Macaca fascicularis: one gene and its partner. The protein of the gene in region 2 purifies or fractionates together with the protein of the main gene of each other region. This does not show direct contact. Links are inferred from orthologs where the notes say so. Each region holds a gene or a part of one and is shown on either strand. Other genes may lie near its edges.

What was found.
Region 1: the proteins of EPB41L3 (region 2) and CLNS1A purify together in Homo sapiens (affinity purification with mass spectrometry; 3 studies listed by BioGRID and IntAct, with this or other methods). This does not show direct contact. The link is inferred for Macaca fascicularis from reciprocal best matches to the Homo sapiens genes EPB41L3 and CLNS1A.

The regions. Positions count from the first base shown.
Region 1 is NC_088388.1:76,533,315-76,537,568, reverse strand, and holds the start of CLNS1A (methylosome subunit pICln), read left to right. Parts: upstream 1-1,433; 5' UTR 1,434-1,526; coding exon 1,527-1,651; intron 1,652-4,254. UniProt on the Homo sapiens protein: Involved in both the assembly of spliceosomal snRNPs and the methylation of Sm proteins.
Region 2 is NC_088392.1:73,900,450-73,904,263, forward strand, and holds part of EPB41L3 (band 4.1-like protein 3), read right to left. Parts: intron 3,494-3,814; coding exon 2,933-3,493; intron 1-2,932. UniProt on the Homo sapiens protein: Tumor suppressor that inhibits cell proliferation and promotes apoptosis. Modulates the activity of protein arginine N-methyltransferases, including PRMT3 and PRMT5.

The DNA of each region.
Region 1 (4,254 bases), on a different chromosome or scaffold from region 2:
GGAGACTAGAGTTTTTGTTGTTGTTGTTGTTTTGAGACGGAGTCTCGCTATGTCGCCCAGGCTGGAGTGCAGTGGCACGATCTTGGCTCACTGCAAGCTCCGCCTCTCGGGTTCACCCCATTCTCCCGCTTCAACCTTCCGCGTAGCTGGGACTACAGGCGCCTGCCACCACGCCCGGCTAATTTTGTTTTTGTATTTTTAGTAGAGACGGGGTTTCACTGTATTAGCCAGGCTGGTCTCGATCTCCTGACCTGGTGATCTGCCAGCCTCGGCCTCCCACAGTGCTGGGATTACAAGCATGAGCCACTGCTCCCAGCCTAGAGTTTTATTTTTACTCAAATCAGTTTTCCAGAGCATTCAGGGATCAAAGTTTTCTTTTTTTCTTTTCTTTTCTTTCTTTTTTTTTTTTTTTGAGACAGTCTCGCTCTGTTGCCCAGGCTGGAGTGCAGTAGCGCGATCTCGGCTCACTGCAAGCTCCGCCTCCCGGGTTCACACCATTCTCCTGCCTCAGCCTCCCGAGAGTAGCTGGAACTACAGGCGCCTGCCACCACACCCGGCTAATTTTTTGTATTTTTAGTAGAGACGGGGTTTCACCTTGTTAGCCAGAATGGTCTGGATCTCCTGACCTCGTGATCCGCCCGTCTCAGCCTCCCAAAGTGTTGGGATTACAGGCGTGAGCCACCGTGCCCGGCCAGGGATCAAAGTTTTTAAGGATAATTTGGAAGGTTGGGGAAGGCCAGTGACTGAAGAGTGTTGATTGGTTGGGTGGGGGATGAAATCACAGGGAGTTGAAGCTATCCTCTTGCCCTGAGTCAGTTCCTGGGTTGCGGGGGAGGGGGCACAAGATCACATAGCCAGTTTATGCATCTGGTGGTGCCAGCTGATCCATCAAGTGTAGGGTCTGCAACATATCTTAAGCACCTATCTTAAGTGCAGTTTAGGGAGGGTCAGAATCTTGTGGCCTCCAGCTGTAATTTCTAAATTACAAAATTTCTAATCTTTGGCTGATTTGTTAGTCCTACAAAGGCAGTCCAGCCCCCAGGCAAGAAGGAAGTTTGTTTTGGAAAAAGGCTGTCATCATCTTTGTTTTAAAACTTCAAACTGTAAACTAAGTTCCTCCCAAAGGTAGTTCAGCCTATACGAGGAATGAACAAGGACAGCTTGGAGGTTAGAAACAACATGGATTTGGGTAGGTCAGATTGCTTTCAGTGTCTCAGTTACAATTTTGCAATGGTGATTTCACTGTGACAATCTTGAGGGACTTCCCACAGAACCCTCAGTTCTTGAAGCCCAAAGCCTCAGAAATGGCGAGGAAGAACGAGAGGGGTGTTAAACTCCACACGGTCTTAGCCGACCTCCGACGCTTTTCCTAGAATGTCTCATCTCTATGGTCGACGGCGTTCAGATTCCGGGGCAGACTAAGTTGTTCTTCCGGGGTGAGTGCCTCTTCCAGGGCGAGCGGTGTGGTGCACGCATTGCTGTGTTCTAACTCCCTCAGGGGCTGTGTTGTCGCACTTTCTGCTGCTATGAGCTTCCTCAAAAGTTTCCCGCCGCCTGGGCCGGCGGAGGGGCTCCTGCGGCAACAACCAGACACCGAGGCTGTGCTGAACGGGAAGGGCCTCGGCACTGGTACCCTTTACATCGCTGAGAGGTAGGGTTCCCGGTCCCCAGCGCCGGCCTCCTGCGTGCCACCCTCCTCCTTGCTGGAGCAGGCGGTGCGAAGGAGCCGGGCAAGGGGCGGCCTGGAGGGCTGCTGGGAGCGGGGGCGCGTGTCCGGGACGCCTCAGGGATACCTGTACCGGCTGGAAGGCTCGATTTTTCTAGCACTCTTCCCGAGTCTTCCATTCTCTATTTTCTCGGGCCGGAATTTCCCCTCATGGATTGTGCTTTTGTTTTTTTGTTTTGTTTTTTTAAACTCGCCTTTTACTGGAGGTCTGGCGCGTGCGTTGCCCTTAACGCACGGTCTCGTTTTAAGAGTCTGAAGTGTGCCTGTCTTTCCGGATGAACAGATGCAGGAGATGTTCCCCTCTGCAGGATACGTAGTTTCAGAGCCGAGTGTGGAGGACTTTGAAAGTTTGGTTACACAATATAGATTTTTTCTGTAGGAATAGTAAGGAGAGGAATATCCTTAACTCGACACAGACAGGGGTCATATGCAGAGGTACCAGACTCCCGTTTTGGGGTCCTGGAAGGAGTTGCCCTTTTATTTGGCCACCTGGAGCACTTTGGTATTTTCACAGTCAGATAGATCTACCTTAAATATTGTGGTTGTAGAACCGAGGTCCCTGTTTCCTTGACATTTAGTTCTCTTTATTTTGAAGCCTGTAATGACACATTTAATCTTTCCTGCCCTTCAGATATGTGTTGCTTCCCCTTTTGCTCCATCACTTGTCGACAGCCAGAGAAAATTCTCTAAGAACTCATGTGATTACTTTGGAACCACCTGTAAAATCCGGGATAATCTCCCTATGTTGCTGTCCACTGGTAACCTTAATTAGGTTTGCGAAGTCCCTTTTGCTGTGTAATATAACATATTCACACGCATGACACCAGAAACTGAAGGTCGTGGGGGCCAAAATTTTGCCTACCACAGAATCCAGAGCACAAAAACTGTAAAGAACTGTTGCTTTAAAGGGAAATTTAGACATTGAACAAGGCTTAGGCTTCAGGCCAGTCACTGAGATAGGACATATGGGTGGTAGGAAAAGCAAGATTGAGGTGAGAGGCAGATAATGAGTTTGGTCAGGACATGTGTGGAGTAGTTGTACATACGAGTGTGTGTTGGGCCGGGCGTGGTGGCTCACACCTGTAATCCCAGCACTTTGGGAAGCTGAGGCAGGCGGATCGCCCCAGAAGTTCGAGATTAGCCTGGGTAACATGGCGAAACCCAGTCTCTACAAAAAATACAAAAGTTAGCCAGGCATGGTGGCGGCCTGTAGTCCTAGCTACTCAGGAAACTGAGATGGGAGGATCACCTGAGTCCAGAAGGTCGAGGCACGGTGAGCCGTGATTGTGCCCCTGCACTCCAGCCTAAGTGACAGAGTGAGACCTTGTCTCAAAAAAAAAAAAAAAAAAAAAGAGTGTGTGTCTTGGGAAAGTGGTATTAAAGATAGATGTTTGGAAGTCGTTGAAGTATTAGTGTATACTCATGGAAATGGATTAACTATCTCAGAAGAGAAGAGGACCAAGTGTAGAACCCTAGGGACACACCTTTGTGTGGGTCATAGAAGAAGAGACTCGAGAAAGGAGGAAGGAGCAGTCAAAACAAAATATGAAGAGCGTATATTGAGTATTGACAAGGAAATCTTTGATATTTGGGGAAAGCAGTTTCTTTGAAGTGATGGAAGATGGAGCACAGATACATTCCTAGTTCCCAGGCATTCCTTTTTTATTCATGACATTTCTGTATGTTGACACTTCGTTCAATATTATAACTCCTTTTGAGGGACAGTCCTGTATTGGTTTTTGCATTTTGAAAAATTTCAAACCTACGGTCCGGTGCGGTGGCTCACGCCTGTAATTCCAGCACTTTGGGAGGCGGAGGCGGGCAGATCACCTGAGGACAGGAGTTCAAGACCAGCCTGGCCAACATGGTGAAACCTCATCTCTACTAAAATACAAAAATTAGCTGGGTGTGGTGGCAGGCATCTGTAATCTCAGCTACTTGGGAGGCTGAGACGGAAGAATTGCTTGAACCCGAGAGGCGGAGGTTGTAGTGAGCCGAGATCATGCCATTGCACTCCAGCCTGGGTGACAGAGACTGCCTCAAAAAAAAAAAAGAAAAATTTCAAACCTAAAGAAAAGTTGTAAGTGTTATTACTACCCATACACCCTTCACAAAGATTTATTAGTTAACATTTTGCCATGTTTGTCTGTTTTTCTTTTTTTTCTGAGCCATTTGAGAATTGCAGACATGTTTTCTACTTCCTGTTCAGAAGAACAGGGACATTATCTTGTATAACCACAATACAATTGTCACACCAAGGAAGTATAACTCTTTTTAAGTTCTTACCAGTTTTTTAAAAATTCTTAGCCTGGACAAGGTGGCTCACACCTGTAAATCCCTGCTCTTTGGAAGGCCAAGGTGAGCAGATCGCTTGAGCCCAGGAGTTGTTGACCAGCCTGGGCAACATGACAAAACCCTGTCTCTACAAAGAATACAAAATTGCAAAAATTAGCCGGTCATGGTTGCATGTACCTGTAGTCGCAGCTACTATGGGGGGCTGAGGTGGGAGGATTACTTAAGCCTGGGAA
Region 2 (3,814 bases):
TTTTCTTAGCCATATACAAATAGCATAGTCCATATACAAAATTTCTTGAATTCCTACTTAGCATCTAGTCAGTCCGTAGTATAGTGCCTTAGCATCTAGTCAGTCCGTAGTATAGTGCCTATCAATAGTAAATAAATGAATAAGGCTGAACAAAGCAGTTTTTATATCAACTGGTATTTCTATAATGTATGATGCCTACATAAAACTGCAAATGTATAGCATATCGTAAACTATTATATAATACTATGTTTATGTAATTTAAAATGTTATAAATCAGTTAATCAATTTTTCTTCCTCTTGATTTGAACTCATCTCTATTTTTCTTTGTATTATCAAAAAATTACTCAGAAATACACATGTAATAGCATTTTATGGTTTGGGGAGGTAAGTTCATCTCATGTTTCTTGATAGGATATTTTGATATCCTGCCCCTTCTTATTTTACCATTCTGAAAGTACAAAAGAAAACTCATGACTGGTCAATAGCTTTATAATGTGAAATGATGAAGCCTTTTTATACTGGATTTCACTCTTGAGAAAGGCTGGAAATAAGCCACTATAACATGTTAAAAATGTAAGCAATGATGATACAATATTTAAAAAGAATTAATTGCTAGTGACTTGGCAAAACGAAAGTGACAAGGCTGAATTGTATGTTAAGAAGTCACCCAGTGTAGCTGCCACAGTGCTTGAGGCCTAGAGATGAAATCAGGCCATGTAAGCAAATGGCAATTTAAATAAAACAATCCAGGATGACCTCAATATGAGTTCTCTAGCTCAGCCTGAACTAGAATGCACAGCTCTTAACACTTCAAGAGACAACACTGAACAGATGGCTAGTTACAGAGTCTGATGGCAGGAGAGCTATCATATGGGCTGACTAGGGCTGCGGAGAAGGGTGATGAAGACTCCAGTGGTCAGTGCTAATTCATGGTTTCGGAGGTTTGCAGTAACAAGGACAGTTATGACCGGGAAGCTCCAATCACATGTTCGCTAGCTTGTAACAAGTAACTGCTGTGATTTGTTTTGCCAATGTAATGCAGACATGCCCAAGTTTAACATTAATTCTCATGCACTGATTACAACAAGATGTATACCCTGGATTAGGCACAAGATCTGTGTGGTTTGCTATACAAAAGTTCAAACATTTATTTTGAATTTAGAAAAGCATAAAACAGCAATCTTTTTGCCTTATGTTAGCTTGATGACTAACTCCACTGTTAAAGGAAAAATATATCTCCATGTTAGAAATCAGCTAATAAATAATAAAATTGTCTTTGTAGACAATATTGTGTTCTTAACTGTAATATGTTCTAGTCCAACACTATTTGATAATATTACCAATATGAGAAATAGTGATATTAAAGCCTAGGATTTCAAGTAGTTCTCAAAATATTTTCCATGTGTAAAAAGTTATTTATATATCAGTTGGAGCAAATCGTTATATATAACTCAAGAACCTTGAAAATGTCTCTTATGCAAAATCTATTCAGTGTAGACTTTTACTTAAAACACCTGTGAGACCATTCACATTTTTTTTCCTTCCGCTGCAAAGAAATGGTCATAATTCCACTAACTAGAGATACTCGCACACCCTCAACATATAATACTACATACTCACAGGTGCTGCGGCTCAAATTATGACTTTCTAGCTGAGCACAGAATCAGACTTTCTTTCCTTTTTTAGCATTGCCTTGACTTTGTGACTTTTGAAAAAAATGGTAAGGTATTTTCCTTTTCTCCTGTCACAACAGCTCTTGTTCTGTGGGAACAGGAGGGCTGCAGGGAGCCTGCGGAGAGGTGTGGGCAGGGGCGTGCATGAGAGCAACCGGGGCTTCTGGTGGCAGCTTCTATTATTCTTCCCCGCACTCTGTTTGAAGCCTGGAGAAAGAGAAACTGCTGGGCTGTTCAAAGGGCTGTGGGGTGGTGGGAAAGGAGAGCAATTAACAGGAAAAACTACCGGCTACCATGTCAGCTTGCCCAATTGCTCCAGTGGGGGACAGTAGCCTGCCCTGCAGCAGCATGCCTTCAAGGACGGAGGCTGATAGTTCAGGGTCTTTCCCCCACTATGTCCATGTCCGGCTGGCAGCCACAGAGGCCCAGCCTTACCACACTGTGAAAACGGGGGGATTTTGAGGCTCATACTGCAGTTGAAAGAATTGCTGCCGTATTATCTGCATTGGCATGGCTAGCACTGGTGAAATTTCAGCCTGTCTTTGCATTGTTTGAAAACGTCAATTCAGTCCTTTTCTGATTGTGTTTGAACACTGCTGCACTGCATGCCGTTGCTTCTGGGCCTGTTTCTGCCCTTACCAATGGCTGATGTCATGTGGGTGCTTTCAACTGCTCTGACACAACACAATGCGGGATCTGACTGACAGACCTCTCTGTGAGTAACAGTGACTGTCCGTCGATGATGAGCAGAGGGCGGTGGGGACATTTCAGGATCTTCAGGGAGGAGATACCTTTGCAATTTTAGAAAGCTACCCAGGTGACAATGATACATCCCCTTTGGGGATGCGTTCTTCCACCTCTCCTTGACTATCATTTGAGTTGAAACAACTCATCATCGGTCTTATATGTGATTTACCTTACTAAACAATAACTGATCAGAACTTTCAGCTTAGCCCTGATCTTTTACATGGCTAATGGGTTACATAAAATTGACTTCTGGCTGAGTCTTTCATCCCACGTAGAACTCAGTGGGTAGCAGAACGATTCCGGGTTGGGCTCAGACTGCTACATCCACATGGTGTTGTGCCTAACCCTGGGGCCCAGGTTGGACTCCCCAACACACAGAAACCTCAACATATTGGCACAGACAATAAATGAGGCTCTGAAAGTAGGACCACTATGGCAGCAGCCGGCTAACACTGTTTCGGACTCAAGCACGGAACACGAAGGGGAAGCGTGTTCTATGCCGAGGTACACACCTCTTCCTCTGAACTGTCACTCGGGTCATTGTCTAGGGAGGCGCTCAAGGAGGCCGCCTTGGGCTCCAGGTAGCAGAGGCACAGAGCCAGAGGGAAGGAGAGAGTGAGAGCGTATGGCACTGAGAAGGAGGCAGACAGCAGAAAGAAAAAGATGAAGAGGAAACAGGGCACGAGGGACGGTGAGCGGATCGGGAGGTAATGCTGCAAGCTCTGGGGCAGGAGGTTGGTTTCAGAAAGGTTGGGGAAAGAGAGGTACCCATCGTCATCTAGGAGGGAGGGGAATGACTCGGGGAGCTGCAAGGAGAAGGAGAACAGGGTGGTCCCCTTGCCAGTTTGCTGTCTGTAGCTAAAAGCCACATCTTGATCCCCTAGGTAAGGCCTCCCTGGGCCATCAGAGTCCAAGGCGGGCTCTCCGGGCGTGTGCTCAGCTCTGGATGGCTCGTAACCTGGCAGTTTGCAGTCATTCTCCTTACACCTCCTACGGAGCTCTGTGGGAGATGTGGGGGCACAATGGGCGGATGGGGGTGACAAGGGACATGAGTCAGTGCCAAGCCCAGGTGACTGATGTGAAAGAGACAGAGAGAGACAGAAAGCAGCAAACAGAGGTGCAAAAGGACAAAAAGAAAACTGCAATTAGTTAATTTTCTTATGGGTATCAATATAAAATTGTAAAACAAAAATTTTAGCACTAGGGTTGCTCATGAATGTTAAAAGTATTCAAGCTGCATGCCAATGTTGCCACAAATGGCTACATTTCTCCCATTAGACCATCATATACAGGTGGAATTCTTTAAAAACTCAGAACAGAAGGTATTCGTGGGTAATCCCAAAGTCTACACATTTCACATGATCAAAAAATTTCATTTTAGACCAACACTCTAG